2 linked regions of the Pelodiscus sinensis genome follow. The protein of the gene in region 1 purifies or fractionates together with the protein of each later gene. This does not show direct contact. Links are inferred from orthologs where the notes say so. Each region holds a gene or a part of one and is shown on either strand. Other genes may lie near its edges. The genes, in order: ABL2 and RIN1.

Region 1 (7,761 bases):
GAGAAATGCCCAATCTCCAGCTTTTCTGCTATGAGGCTGACAATTTCATACTCCCTTTCTCCTTAGTTCTGTAAGACATCAGTGTCAGAGCCTGGGAGAGCAGGAACTGATGCTGGGCAGAGGAGTGACAGGGGACATAACTTGTGGCTCAACTCCACAACAGCAGAAAGATCTCTTTCCTTTCTCCCCCTTCTGGCAGTTCAGGCAAGTTTTCTGGGGCATGAACTCTTTTACTCAGTGTATGTAACCTAGCACAACAGGACCGTAAACTTAGGTATGGCCTTTAGTTCCTAATGCAATATACTAAGGACGTTAAAACACAATTATCTGGCTAATCGTATAGTCAATACAATTTGTATCAACTATAAGATTAGTGAATAAGCGCTACTGTGCAGAACCGCAGCAGAGGTAGCTCCAGCAGCCAGCTGCAAAGCCACCCATGCTGCTGCTCTGCATTTTAAATGTAATAAAAGTCACGACATTTAAAATGCAGAGGAGCAGCGAGCTGGGACTGCTTGGTCCCAACTCGCATTGAATCCAGCAGCCTGGGTGCCCAGCTCCCTGCTGGGATCCCCCCATTCATACAGGAACGTTACTGGATGTTCTCCTTCATTGGGAGCCAGGGAGAAGTGCACAGTTTGTTGCATTCCTCAATGTGTCTGGGGAGCACAGGGGGCAGACCTGGACCTCCCCCAGCTGAAGTGGCCATGGACAGGCACTTCTCACCTGGCTCCACACTGCTGCAGTGAGAGGGCTGTCCACTCCCCCTAATGCAGCCTGAACCCCCCATTCCCAGCCCCACCCCAGATTTAGCTGAACAAAATTAATTGAGTTAAAGACCCCAGCAACACTGGCACTGGGTAATCTTCTAGTTATCTAGTATAATATACTGTACTTCCTGTGAATTTGCTTTCTATGACCAGCACTGCCTCTTATACTTTACAAAGTTATCACTATCCTTCTTTGCTACCAAAACACCAAGGAGAGGTACTTTGTTATTAAAGGGATAACTTAGACTGTGACATCAGTCTTTCATAACAGCTCTACCAGGGAAATAAAGATTTTTGGTTTCAGCATGAAATTGAAGCATTGGTATTTTTAACTACACCTGCCCCCAAGTCTCCCTGTCAATTTCAGGGTTTGCAGTAATTTTCCTACTTTTAATAATTTCTCTTTTGATGGTGTGTGAAAGACCCACGCAAATAAGGAAAACTAATTAACTGTACAGAGGAAATAGTGAAACTGACTATACACTGGCACTGGGTCAATACAAGATCCAACTGAATATTTTCCTCTCTAATCTTTTTTATTGAATTTAACCTTCAGCAACAGCAGCAGACTTGTGGAAAGAAGCTACTTTTTTTTTTTTTAAGTTGACAATGTCCTGAAGTTCATAAACTGTTTAGAATCTTATCAATACATGATGTATATTTAGAAAGTGAATTTATATTGAAGGTTACACACTGTCTCTGCCACGTGGTAGGTATCACTGATTTACTAAGCTGTGCAAGTCAGCTGTCATAGGGGATGACTTTACATTAAAAACATGTAACCAGCAGCAGTCCAGTATCTTAATGCATATGCACTCTCTGTTGGGCTCAGAAAGAGCTAAGTTGTCAGAAGCAGTTTTGCCACATGAACACTGGAACATGATTGCTTTAGCTGAAATAAAAATCGATAATGCTCTCAGTAGCAAATTCAGGTCTTCAAATTAAAACAACAACAAAAAGCACCACCATTACACTTCAGCTCCTTGCACTCTTACTTTGTTTACCATATTTTTCAACCTTCCAGTGTATTATAATGGACAAAAAAGGCACAGAAAAATTATAAAGGTACAGTATTTGAGACGGTTGGCTTTTTAAGAGGATCTTTTTTCCCCCCCTGTAACCTCACTTTCATAGTCAGTATTTTTATTACTGTAAAGTGAAAGGAGGGGGCAAATTTGGACTTCGCTAAGTCAGCTGATGTACCGACTATTACAGCCATGCCAAGAACAAAACAGCCTGCTCCATAGATCCTTAGTAATGAGAAAGCCATGTCAGCAATAAAGGGCAAGACTAAGTCAGAAACGTGTTCAGTACTTATCCCCTGGAACAGACAAAGGTCTGACTATGTGGGGCTCATCCCAAAGAAGTTCACAGAGGTGTTGCAAAGGTAGATAGCGTACTTCGCTCTGTGTCTATTTTTTATTCATATTTGTCTCCATAAGCCACCTCCTTACCGATAAGGAAACAGCAAAAAAAAAATCACTGCCCTCTGACACAGCAGCTAGGCAAATGGGTGGAAGTTTCTGTAGCAATAAGAGCTTTGTAGGTGGTGGACTTCAGAAGGGAAGCATCCTCTCATCGCTCGCCTTCCAGGGAATCTGATTGTGCAGGCACATAGAGCCCTGGATGTACCCTCCACCCCGACCCTACGTGCCTCCCCATCCCCGCTCTGGCAGAAACCGTTCGGGGAGCCGCGCCAGTCCCCTCCCCCCACAGGCCGCACGCCACCGCAGGCAGCGATGGGGAAAGGGGGTGCATGGGGCTGCCCCCCACACGTGCCCTCGCAGGCAGCGATGGGGGAGGGGCGGGGTGCGGCTGCCCCCGACTGTCCCTCCGCAGCCGCGGTGCCTTCCCCCCGGCCCCTCCTCTCGTTTCCCCGGCAAACCCTGCCCCGGCGGTCCCCCGGGGCGCCCCGTGCCCAGCGGCTGCCCCCGCCCTCCTTACCGTGCTGGGTGAAGATATTGAAGCCGCTCTCCGCCGCGCGCCCGGCCGCCTCCCGCTTGCGGCCCGCGGGCCTGGGCGCGCTGCTCCCCCGCGCTCCCCGGGGCTGCTGAGGCGGCGGCGGCTGCTGCTGGAGCCCGGCTCCCGGCTCCCCGACGCGGCCCACCTGCTGGCCCATCCCCGCGCTGCCGTCCTGGGCCCCCGCCAGCCCTCACTCACATGCCGCCTCCGCTGCCGGTGGCCTCCTGCGCCCGCGGCCCGGGGCTCCCCACAGGGCTGCCCGCCCCAGCCCGCCGCGCTCCGGCCTGGGACTCACGGACTCGCCCCCTCAGCCCCCGCCGCCATCTTAACCACAGAGCTGCGGGAGAGGGGACAGAGCGGCTCCTAGAGACCCACCTCCGGTCCTCCAAGGGTGTCCTGCCACCGCCAGCTCCACCCCCCGCCCCGCCCTGACATCACCCAGCCGCCTCTGCCCCCTCCTTGACACCCCTGCCCCGCCCTACGTCGCCTAGCAACGCCCGGCCCCGCCCTGACATCACCCAGCCTCCTCTGCCCCCTCCTTGACACCCTTACCCACCCTATGTCGCCTAGCAACGCCCGGCCCCGCCCTGACATCACCCAGCCTCCTCTGTCCCCTCCTTGACACCCCTGCCCCTCCCTACGTCGCCTAGCAACGCTCGACCCCGCCCTGACATCACCCAGCCTCCTCTGCCGCCTCCTTGACACCCCTGCCCCTCCCTACGTCGCCTAGCAACGCCCGACCCCGCCCTGACATCACCCAGCCTCCGCTGCCCCCTCCTTGACACCTCTGCCCCTCCCTACGTCACCTAGCAACGCCCGACCCCGCCCTGACATCACCCAGCCTCCGCTGCCCCCTCCTTGACACCTCTGCCCCTCCCTACGTCACCTAGCAACGCCCAGCCCACCTACCTCTGCCCTGACATCACCCAGCAACCACACACCCCTCCCGCCTCCTCCCTGACACCCCATCTCTCCTTTCCCCTGCCAACCCTTTTCCCACCCTGCACTATCCCCTGACTGCCTAGTAACGACCTGCCCATCCCCTGCCATCCTCCTCTGGGTCCCCTGAACCCCCAGCCCACACCGATTAAATTAACCCCCTTTTCCATCCCCCCCTCTTGCCTTTCCACCCATTCTCCACCTACAGTGTCATCCTGACTATCCCCCACTGTCTGCTTGACAGCTCGGTGTTCTCCACTACCTACTGTTATTTATCCCCACAGCACTACCCTGTTTCTCTCCTGTCCCATAAATGCTCTTTGTGAACACAAGCCCTTCCCTTGTTCTGTAGAAATCTGACTGAGATACATGAAATACTGCTCACCATGCATGCCATAGGATCATTTCATAATATTAGGCCTGGGCTAAACCTACAGTGAAGGTCAAGCTAGCTCCATCGCTCAGGGCTGTGAGAAATGTCATATTCTGTGTGATGCTGTTAGGTCAATCTAATCCCAACTGTAGATGCAGCTAGGTCAACAGAAGAATTCTTCCCTCATCCTAGCTACCTCCTCTGAGGGAGTGGATTTATTTAGAAGCAATGAAAAGCCCTGCCCATCACTGTAGTAAGTGTCTACACTATAGTGGCATGATCGCAGTTATACTGCTGTAGAATATGTACATACCCTTACACTCTCAAAGGGGGGGTCCTCTTCTACTTTTTCATTTCCTTTCAACATTTGGTCAATTTTAATGTAATTTTCATTAGTAGTCATGCAAATACTTATTATATCCCAAAAGGTCTAAAAATTCCAAATTGGCATATGTTTGACCCAGAAAGCGTACCCTGATTATATGAGAAATTAAATGTGATTTCCCCACCATGACCTTAACAGAAGCAAAATGCAGGACAATGTAGCACTTTAAAGACTAACAAGATGGTTTATTAGATGATGAGCTTTCGTGGGCCAGACCCAGGAAGTGGGTCTGGCCCATGAAAGCTCATCATCTAATAAACCATCTTGTTAGTCTTTAAAGTGCTACATTGTCCTGCATTTTGCTTCAGCTACCCCAGACTAACACGGCTACATTTCTATCATGACCTTAACAGAAATAATCACTAATAAAAACAGACATCTTAACATTAAGCACAAAATTATACTGAGGCATATAATGGACAAATTTTCAACAAGCGTTGCGGTTACATAAATATATTAAGTAATGTTCCAGTTACAAACTGTAAGCATTTGAAAGTATGGAAACTAATAGATATGGAAAGCCCACAAAAGGAGGAGAGGGAGTGACTACTGTGAAAGAGGGGTTTTGTTTCAAATTTTGCTGTTCCCCTTTATTTTTCATTTGGCTAAAGCTGGCAGGATGGGAGGCACAAGGGGAAAGCTCATTTATGTAAGAGAAAGCATTTTCTTAGAGGCTGGTTGAAGATTGTGCAATGAACCACTGTAAAACCTAAGAATGACTTAAAATTTCAGCACTTTCCATTCCAAGTGTAGGCACACTTAAATATTTACAAAACATAAATGAAAAACATTTTTAAAAATAATTCTCACAATTTTCCTCCTGGGGAGCAGGGAAGGGAGGAAAAGAGATTCACACATGAGAGATGCTAATTACATCACTTCAACTTCTGGAAAGTACCCAGATGCCATGTTGATAGGCACAAGAGAAGAAACTTGAGTAGAGCTAAATATGACTATCTACACTAAATTAAGACACAGTTAATTATTATTCATATTAAACTTACAGTCATAGTTTCTATGATTCACTTAGAACAAATTCAAAATTAAATTATATCACTTAAAAGTCTGGGACCTCTTACACTGGAAAGATCTGAATATCTTTCAGATCAGTTTAGCCCATTCCTATTTGGAAGTGAGCAATTTTGAAATGAAGATGCAAAATAATTCATTTTATCTTTGCCTAAAATGTTATTTCAGTGCTTCTTGCTTCTTAAAAGGTGGTTGTACAGGTATTTTAAAAAGTGACTATGTAAGCACTTTCTAACTTAACAAACTGGTCCTATTTGTGTGTTTACTGGAGATGAATCTTATAACCTTTGGAATATGCTTTATACACACACACGGGAGGGGCTGTGCCCCATGTTTGCTATGCTCGCCAACTCCAGAGAGCCTATTAAACTTGCACTGATTATATAGAAGTGAACAAATGAAGATGTATAGAAAAACTTAATTGGTCTATTGCTCACATACTAAATGTTATAGACAGATGTACAGACAGATCTCAGTTTCACAGTTGGTTCTGGTTGAAGCAGAAGTAAGCGAGACGCTGAGACTTCACTTTCAAGTAGGCTGATGATGTAATTCAGTTGCACGGCAGGAAAAACTTTTTTTATATACAGAGGGAGATAAACATATGCCTAAAGTAATAAGATATATATAGATATATAGATTATAACATGTATGTTTTACTTCAATTTGCATGAAGAGACAACACAGATAACCGAGTGAGCTGGATTCTATTTACCAACATCCAGTCACTGACTCTGGCTTCCAAAGGGTTGCACAGGTAGAAAAGAGGTCAGAATTTGAAGATAATAGGACAGTCCAGGTATTTGTTGGCCTGTGGAATCTTTTATTGGTGATGGCACATGTGACAAGGGAAAAAAGATCAAGTTTATTTTCAGATCTTCTATGTGCAGGGCTGGTAGTTAAAAAAAATCTTTTAATTGTAAACTGAACACATTTGCTATGAGAATTGTTGCAAGTCAAAAAAATTAAAACTCCACACTGACATTTACAGAGTCACATTTCAGAGTAGAACCCCACTTTAAAATTAGTAGCAATAACAGCTTTCCTACTGCCTCTCATTCATAGATCTCAGAGCACTTTCCAAAGGACGTTTATTAGTATTTTAAAAGAATATGCCAATGTTGAGAGAGATTTATTTCTGGAGGAGGAGGGGTCCAGAAGGGTATCCAGCATTATTTGTTTAAAACAGAATTTTTATTCCTTAGATCTCATGACATCACAGGATATCTTTGCATAACTAGCTTGTGTTAAGTAATATGCTGATGCCACAAGACGTGGAGCCACAGCACAGAAACCTCTTACTGAGATGGAGTCAGATCGAGATGATAACAGCCCATTTAATATATTTTCAAAGTGTTTACTATTTTATTATAGATAGATAGATAGATAGATAGATAGATAGATAGATAGATAGATAGATAGATAGATAGATAAAATGTATATAATACTTGAAAACCATGCAATATATTGTGCCTAATTAGCTTCTTAATAGTATCACTGTAACTTGGGTAGCAAGTGCTGGGTTGATGAGGCAATTAGCTTCTTAATAATCTAGTAGAGCCAGAATGAGAATATGAATAAGTATTCTTAAATTATAATTATTTTTCTGCCACTTTATCATGGTGTTCCCATTGGCCACACCTCTTCTTATCCTTGAAGTGGGCCTAATCATTATTCATCCTTAGAGTGCTTAGAGTATAAGTTACTTAATGTTTTCAAAGTGCTTTGAAGAGGAAAATGTATATTAATGATAATTATTATCATCAACTGTAATGTTACTAGCCTCATATAGTATCATAAATATGTTGTTATATAAAGCTAATTTAATCTGAAAAGGTTTGGCAATATCCATAAACAAGGCCTCCTAAAAAACTTAGTCCTGACAATTTCTGTCTTCCAATGAGTTTTCTGACATATAAGCAGTTTGGGATACAGGAGAAAAATTACCAAAAAGCCAAGATAAAACTGAGATTTAAAAAAAACTTTAAAGTGAAATATGACATTGCCAGAAGCACTTATTTACTAATTTAAAAGTATCTGCCATACATAAATTTCACAGTCCCTTTTCCCAAATACTGACAATGGTCCACTGGTCACAAACACTGCATGCAGTCTCTGTTCCAAAAAGAGAAATTAAAATGTTCAGCTAATAATGTTGTCTGAGCATTCTTGGATGTTCTATATTACAGTATATGCAACAGCCTCTAGATGTCATCCTAATCCCCGGTGTGGTTTGACAGGGCTGTTTGTTTGATGTATCCCTTGTGCATGGGAAATGCTGCAGAATAAATCTGTTGCTATAT
Region 2 (7,794 bases), on another chromosome or scaffold:
GCTCCAATCTAGCCCAGGCTAGAGGGAGAGAAGGGGAACTAGAGGGAGGGAGGGATTTCCCAGCTATATGGGGAGTGCAGGGTGATGGGGAAAGTGGAATGGCTGTGGGGATGGAGGTGATGAAGTGGAAATGAGGCATGGACAGAGGGTGGGGAGGGAGGGACCAGGGGGCCTGAAGGGAGAAGGATCAGGGAGAGGAGTGCAGGGGCAGCAAGATGTGGGGCAGGGGATGGGGGAAGAGAGATGTGTGTGTGGGGGGGGGATCAACTCACCAAGCCCCAGGTGGGAAATGGACTCCAGTTCCTTGTGTGACACCGCCTGCTGGATGGGCTGGGGCAGGCGCAGGGCCACAGGGAGAACCTCCCTAGGGGGACAGTGTATCAGACTCCAGTAGCAACTCCAGGGCTCCCTCCTCTCCCAGCGGCATCCTCCCAATCCCCTTCTACCCATCCCCCCTTCCCTGAGGACTCTTCCCCAATCCCCTTCTGCCTCAGAGCTGCCCCAACTCCCTCTGCTCCATAACCCTCCCCCAGTCCCACTGCCCCAGACACTACACCAGGGATTGCCAACCTTTTTAAGCACAAGATCACTTTTTGAATCTAAGTGAGTCTGGGATCTACCTCAAACCCAAATACCCCCGCCCTGCCCCTTCTCCGAGGCCCTGCCCCACTTCTTTCCTGAGGTCCCACCCTCCTTACTCTGTCAAGATGGGGTACAGGGGAGCAGGACAGATTGACATCAGCGCCCTCTGCCTCTGTCTCCTCCACTCTGCACAACAAGCAGGAGGTTCCCAGGGGGCAGCTTTGAGGCTCTGGGCAGGAGCAGCAAGGCAGTGTGGGGAGGAACAGTTGAAGTACCGGCACGTGACAGCCTCCCCGCCAAACCAGTCAGGATCACCTGGCAGAGGCACCAAGATCTACCGGTAGATCCTGATCTACTGGTTGGTGAGCACTGCACTACAGGATCTTAGTCCCCTGGGAGCAGGGGAAGGCTGGAGCTCAGATCTTAGAGGCTACGTCTACACTGGCCCCTTTTCCGGAAGGGGCATGTAAATTTCACTAGTCGTCGTAGGGAAATCCGCGGGGGATTTAAATATCCCCCGCAGCATTTAAATAAAAATGTCCGCCGCTTTTTTCCGGCTTTTAAAAAAGCCGGAAAAGAGCATCTAGACTGGCCCCGATCCTCCGGAAAAAGTGCCCTTTTCCGGAGGCTCTTATTCTTACTTTGAAGTAGGAATAAGACCCTCCGGAAAAGGGCACTTTTTCCGGAGGATCGGGGCCAGTCTAGACGCTCTTTTCCGGCTTTTTTAAAAGCCGGAAAAAAGCGGCGGACATTTTTATTTAAATGCCGCGGGGGATATTTAAATCCCCCGCGGATTTCCCTACGACGACTCATGAAATTTACATGCCCCTTCCGGAAGAGGGGCCAGTGTAGATGTAGCCAGAGTGTTCCCCTTGATCCCACTCACCGTCTCTGGCAGTAGGAGGCTACCAGATGCAGCAGGTCTGGGAAGCTCCGGGATGAGCCCTCCAGGGAGACTCCTGCAAAGACATGGACCCTCAGAGCCTGCAGTGCTGAGAGGCGCTCTCCCCGGAAGTCAGTACTTGCTTACTGGCCCAGTGCTGTGCCAGGGGCACCATGCTGCAGGGAGTGGGGGGCTCCATAGGGCACCAGGCACACAGCTAACCCTAAGGCGCACATCCCTACCGGCTGGTCCTTCCTGCAGGCTGTAGCTGGCGACAAAGGCCGGTGCCAGGTCATCTAGGAGGCGCAAGCAGAGGGCCCGGCGTTGGCGTGTGTTTGATCGGCGCACCAGGAACGTCTGGGGTGAGAAGGGAGCACCTCACAGCAGGGGCTATGCAGGAGTTGTGGACTCCATATCCACCGGGGCCCTGTTCAGCCCCAGTGATCTACCTAATGTGGGATCTCCCGTCAGCCTCATGGGCTCATCCAGTGTGGGAGCCCCCCACATCATACCCATAGACTCACCCAGTGTGCCCCCTCCAAATCAGACCCATAGACTCACCCAGTGTGCCCCCCCAAATCAGACCTATGGGCTCAGCCAGTGTGCCCCCCTCCAAATCAGACCCATAGACTCACCCAGTGTGCCCCCTCCAAATCAGACCCATAGACTCACCCAGTGTGCCCCCTCCAAATCAGACCCATAGACTCACCCAGTGTGCCCCCTCCAAATCAGACCCATAGACTCACCCAGTGTGCCCCCCTCCAAATCAGACCCATAGACTCACCCAGTGTGCCCCCTCCAAATCAGACCCATAGACTCACCCAGTGTGCCCCCCTCCAAATCAGACCTATGGGCTCAGCCAGTGTGCCCCCTCCAAATCAGACCCCTGGACTCCCCAGCGTGCCGCCCATCAGACCCATGAACCCACTGCCCTCAGCATTCAGCCCAGCAGGGCAGAGCCCCCTCCCCTCACCCCGGGCGGCTCCCGCTGCAGGATGTGCAGGGCAGTGGCGGAGTTGAGGCTCAGCTGCAGCCAGACGGGCTGGGTGAGGAGCAGACGATCCCGGAGGCTGACGCTGGTCGGAGCCCCCCGTGCGGGCCTGGGCTGGGGGCAGACGTGCGGCGCCGGGACATCGTACACGGGGTCACGCGCCAGGCGGAGCGGGGAGGCAGGGCTGTGAGGAGCGCAGGGAGCCCAGAGTTAGGAACCCAGGAGTCGCGGCTCCCCACCCCCGCCCCCGCCCTCCCAGAGCTGGGGCAGAACCCAGGCGTCCTGGCTCCCGCCCCTCCCGGCCCAGGCCCCTCGGCCATACCCGTGCGGCTGGTCCGGGGGCTCCATCTGGCCGGGTGACCAGGCTGCGGAGGTGCGAGGCTCCCTCTGCCAGGGAGAGGAGGCGCAGCGGGCCGCCCCCTTCCCCTGGTACCAGCTCTCCGGGCCCGGGGCAGCCCAGCCCAGCCTGCGCCAGCCCCGAAACGCCCCGGGAGGGAGGCGGCAGGAGGAGCAGGAAGGGCAAGACTCAGACCCACGTGGCTCCTGCTGGGAACTTGCTTCTCCACGCGACACGGAGCCCTGGCGGGGCGCTGAGATGCAGCCGCCTCTGGGGTGGGGCGCGGCGCGGTCTATAGCGGGAGGCAGGGGCGAGGGAGCCCTGCACACAGAGCTGCGTCCCGGTATCGGCTCCACAGCCAGTGCCCCGGCTCCGTGGGAGCCAAACCTGGCCCGGAGCAGTGGAATGCGCGTCGGCTGTGACTCACCGTCACACCCAGCCATGGCACAGGCCCGGACCGGGCGGAGCCAGCCCCAGGCAGGGATAGACGCCCCCCCCCCCCCCGCAGTCACGTTCCCAAGGCAAAGCTCTCTAGGCTGGCACAGCCCGTGCGGGGGCGCAGATCTAATCAGCCAGCCAGCCCCAGGGCAAGCGGGGCAGGCACAACTCACCAGCCTACCAGCTCACTCCTTTTGTACAGGGGGAAACTGAGGCCCGGAAAAGCATACTGCCCAAGCCAGAGCTGACACAGAGCCCAGGAGTGCTGGTTCTCAGCCCATCTGCTCGAACCCACTGGATTCCAACCCCCCAGCTAAACACAGAAAGCAGAAGTCCTGACTCCTAATCCACCCCCAACTCTAACCACTAGACACCACTCTGCTCCCAGGCGTCCTAGCTCCCAGCACTTTGCTTTAAGCACTAGACTCTACTCTTCCAGCTGGGAGAGAAAGGTCAATGCGAGGGCTGTAGGCTGTATGGACAGTCGGTAGCAGCCAGGACAGTAGAAGGAGGAGCCAGGGGACAAAGAAAGTTAGCCACAGGTGGAAAATCCATCAGAACCAAGCCAGATTCTCCCCTCCTCCCCCCATCCTGACTGCTGGGCTGTGCTCCCATCTTACCAGGAGTGAAGTTTTGATATGAATGGAGCTGGCATCTCAGATCATCCCGGGCAGAGCCCCCAGTGTCCTCTTCCATTCTCCCAGTTCCCATCCAAATGGCCCCCATTGCAGGCCCTGGCAGGGCCCCCTTCTCATAACCTCTTTGCTACCTTCAGCATCATTATTAATCTATTATTCCCTTCACTCCCATGTCAGACTCACATGTGCTGGGCTTTGAGCATGTCCAGGCCACAAGCCAAACCCTGGCAGCTGCCTGGCCACCCTGGACATCAGGGGCCCTGGGCATCATTCCCCAGGTCTTACTTTGTCTTGGGTTTTGTATCTGTCCCCATCCTCCACCCTGGAGCCCTGCAGATGCCTTTTCCCCTCTCCAGGGAGACCACAATGGCTCCCAATACAGGAAGGGAAACCGAGGCACAAACCAGGGAGAGGGCTCTGTCACTGTTAGACAGCCAGCTGCAAAACCGAACCTTGGGGTTCTGGCTCCCAGCACTCCCCCAACCCAGCGAACTCCACAGTCCTTCCAAAACTGAGGAGAGACTCCAAGGCTGTCTACTCTGGTGGGTTCTTGCACAATAACAGCCATTCTTCTGCAGAGCGTCCACAGGGCTCGCCTGCTCTTGCTTAAGAAGATTTACAGTAAAGCGTGGGAAGAGAGGGCTTCTTGCGCAAGAGCTACACTCTTTTCTAATAAGTGTAAGCCCTCTTGCGCAAGAGGGCAGTGTGGACATCCAGCAGGGGTTTCTTGTGCAAGAAACCCCTATAGCTAAAATGGTCATCAGAGCTTTCTTGCACAAGAGTGTCCACACTGCCATGGACACTCTTGCGCAAAAAGACGTGTTCTTGCATATGAACCCGCCAGCGTAGACATAGCCCAGGAGTTCTGGATCCCAGTGCTCCTGTCCCACTTGACCCCATAGAGCTCTTAAAACTGAGGCTAGAACCCAGGAGTTCTGGCTCCCAGACCCCAAACAGCTGGGCCAGCAGAGAAGGGGGTTGAGCCATGGGAAGGGTAGTGTGAGGCTGGGATTCAGGAGATCAGTTTTCTAGACAATTCATGGGGCATCAGGCGAAAGCCCCATTGTGGGGAGGGACCAGTAGGATTTGAGAGTCCAACATGGGGAAGAACCAAGATCAGGGCAGGATTCCCACTTCTGTGCCAGATCCCCCCTGTGACCCAGCCCCACTCACCCCAATGCCCTTGTAGCCCCTCCAGGGCCTGTGAAGTTGGGGTACAGCTCATGCAGAGGGGTCCCCCATTTGTGCTCCCTCTTGCTCTGCTGAGCACTGGCAGGGTGCAGGCAGCTGCACTAGGGTGCTGGGGGAGGCCTAGATGAGAACAGGTGTGGCTCAGACACAAGGCCCCCCAGACTGTCACCCATGTGAGCAGCTCCCAGCAGTAGGATCTGGCCAGGGACAGAGCGGAGGTGGCTCTCTTTTCCAAAGGGAAGGGAGGCTGGAGAAAAGACAACAGTGCAGACTGGGAGGGTCCCAAAGGTGCTGCCACTTGTGTGTCCCAGAATCAGCACAGGCTGGAGTCAGGGAGGGTCCTGACACCAAAGCGATCCACGCCCTGAAGGAACTGTGGCCAGCAGGTCTAGAGGGCTCAGACAAGGGATAGCGCACGTAGCTGAGGGGATGGTGCTGGGAACATTCTGTGCCTCAAAGGGATACAGAAGACACCCCACTCACCCCCCAGGCCAGCTCATCCCTATTCCCCAGAATACATTGAAATGAATCAAAGAGCCAAGATTGTGCATGTTTCGCTTAGTTTTTAATGTGAACACTTCCAGGGAGCTGGTCAAGACCCAGGGCTTTTCCTGCAGAAGCCCCTGGAACCAGCATCCCTATTTCCCTGTGGGGCACAACAGCCCCGGACACAGGGAGTTACGTGCCCCCCAGATTGCTACAAACACCAGAGTCCTAGCGAGGGAAGCGAGCGGTGAAGCCTCGTGCTGGTCTGTCTGCAGGGATCTGTGACGGGAGCGCTGGCCATGTGAACACTCCACCGGGCAGGGCCCCAGAGTCCTCTCCATCTGGGTCCTAGTGCAAGGGGGCAGCAAGCCGAGCCTCCGCCCAGCCCCTCGCTGCACCGCAGACGAGCTGTGGGCCCTTGTGTCCAGGAGGAGGCCTGTGCCAAGCCGCAGGGCTGAGCCCCACTCAGGCCTTGCGCACCGAGTACTTGCCCTTCTGCAGCTGCGAGACGTAGATTTTGGTCTTGGTGCCATCCTCCCGGCGCAGCCAGACCTCCCCAGTGCTGACAGCCGTGATCACTGCCCTGCAGGGGAGAGAGGGGTCATGCCAGCCCCCCCAAGGACAGTCAGTCCTCTCCACCTTGGGGCTGGATTCAGGGTCCCCCAGACCCCGTCTCGGGAAAAGGCTCTGTATCCCATTCCCTACCCCGAGCCAGCCAGCCTTGGGGCTGGATCAGAGCTGGTGCCCAGGGCCATTCCCAGGGGGAATGGGGCCTGGGGCAGTACCATCTCTCCCTATACCCCAGAGGTGAAACCCAGAGCAAATCTCCCCATCCCAGGCCCTGCCACAGCTTTAACCCTTCCAAGCATCACCCCAGCTCTGCCCTCACCCCACACTCTTCTACCTCCTCTTGCCCTGGTATTGAGGGTTTGAGTCCCACAGTGATCCAGGGAATTAGCTGGGAGCTTAGGACGAGGCGGCAGCAGGCGTAACACACCGCTCACCACAGCAGCGGTGTAACACAGCTCACCCAGCAGCCCCCTCTGCTCCAGCCCGCTGTGGCTGGGGCGCTCTGCTTCTGGCTATCACATGCCCAGAGCTCAGCGGGTTGGCAGAGGGCAGCAGGATAGAGCAGAGCAGGCTGCCAGGTCACTCTGGCTTCCACCATCACAGTGAGTGGGAGGATGACCCCCTGCTGCCCTGAGCCAGGCCTCCAGGCAATTCCCTGGATCACTCTGAGGCCCCCATGGCCTGGGGCTGGGATGGCCGCTCCATGCCGTCCTATGGATGGGATGGCTTTGCTGGTGCCGCTTAGAAGGGAAAGGCCCCGTGCCCCATACCCTCCAGCCAGCCAGTTCCTGGCCACTCACTGCGCAGGCGCCTCGTCCCCGACCTCCAGGACAACACTCTGCCCTTTGCTGTAGATCTCACCCTCGTAATGCAGTCGCCCGTCCTCGCAGCGCGCTGAGAACTGGGCTCCCGGCTTCTCCACCTTCACCAGCACTGAGGGGAGAGCGGTGGTCAATGGTAGGGGGGCTGGTGCAGCCCCTACATATGGGGATAGGCCCTGCTGGCAGCAGATGGCAGCTGCAGGGCCAAGTTGGCTCATGTCCTGGCTGAGACACGAGGGGACACCAGAGGCCAGACTGGAACCTGTGCCCCTAGAGAAAAAGGCCCCATATCTCATCCCTTGCCCAGCTCTTACCATCTGCTTTTCTTTTCTGGGGGGACACGGCTGCTTTAGCCTGTAGGGAGAGTCAAGATGATTAGAGAAACTTATGCAGGGAGCACACTCCACCCCATACCGCTGCTCACTGAGCTATCTGGATCCCACCCATGCTGTTCCCTCAGGAAGGATGGCAGCATTAGCCTGACATACAGATGGGGAAACTGAGGCATAAGGTAAGGTACTCACTCAGCAGCAGTGAACAGAACCGGGGAGTCCTGATTTCCAGCCCTCATTCTCCACCCATGAGTCTTGTTTCCCCACCTTCCCTATCACACTAACCCACCAGACCTCATGATCCGCTCCCAGAGCCCAGGAGTCCTGACTTCCAGCTATGCACATGGTGACTTTTTAAAAGGGTATATAAAGAATAGATGAGAAAATAATCCCATTTCCAGGTGTTTGATCCCGAACAGCAGTGCTAGAAAGGGGATTATTATGGGATACCCCGGGTGTACTGAAGAACAACTCAGGGTCTGTGTGGGCGGTTTAAGGGACCCAAGCATTGTGTGTGGGGCCAGT

Evidence for each region.
Region 2: the proteins of ABL2 (region 1) and RIN1 purify together in Homo sapiens (co-immunoprecipitation; 3 studies listed by BioGRID and IntAct, counting the BioPlex papers as one, with this or other methods). This does not show direct contact. The link is inferred for Pelodiscus sinensis from reciprocal best matches to the Homo sapiens genes ABL2 and RIN1.

The regions. Positions count from the first base shown.
Region 1 is NC_134719.1:59,803,459-59,811,219, reverse strand, and holds the start of ABL2 (tyrosine-protein kinase ABL2), read right to left. Parts: upstream 3,083-7,761; 5' UTR 2,890-3,082; coding exon 2,715-2,889; intron 1-2,714. UniProt on the Homo sapiens protein: Non-receptor tyrosine-protein kinase that plays an ABL1-overlapping role in key processes linked to cell growth and survival such as cytoskeleton remodeling in response to extracellular stimuli, cell motility and adhesion and receptor endocytosis.
Region 2 is NC_134721.1:32,368,488-32,376,281, reverse strand, and holds the start of RIN1 (ras and Rab interactor 1), read right to left. Parts: upstream 3,136-7,794; 5' UTR 2,805-3,135; coding exon 2,779-2,804; intron 2,641-2,778; coding exon 2,439-2,640; intron 1,823-2,438; coding exon 1,708-1,822; intron 1,542-1,707; coding exon 1,469-1,541; intron 365-1,468; coding exon 273-364; intron 1-272. Other genes in the region: BRMS1 (breast cancer metastasis-suppressor 1), read right to left, coding at 6,012-6,129, 6,917-7,049, 7,252-7,291. UniProt on the Homo sapiens protein: Ras effector protein, which may serve as an inhibitory modulator of neuronal plasticity in aversive memory formation. Can affect Ras signaling at different levels. First, by competing with RAF1 protein for binding to activated Ras.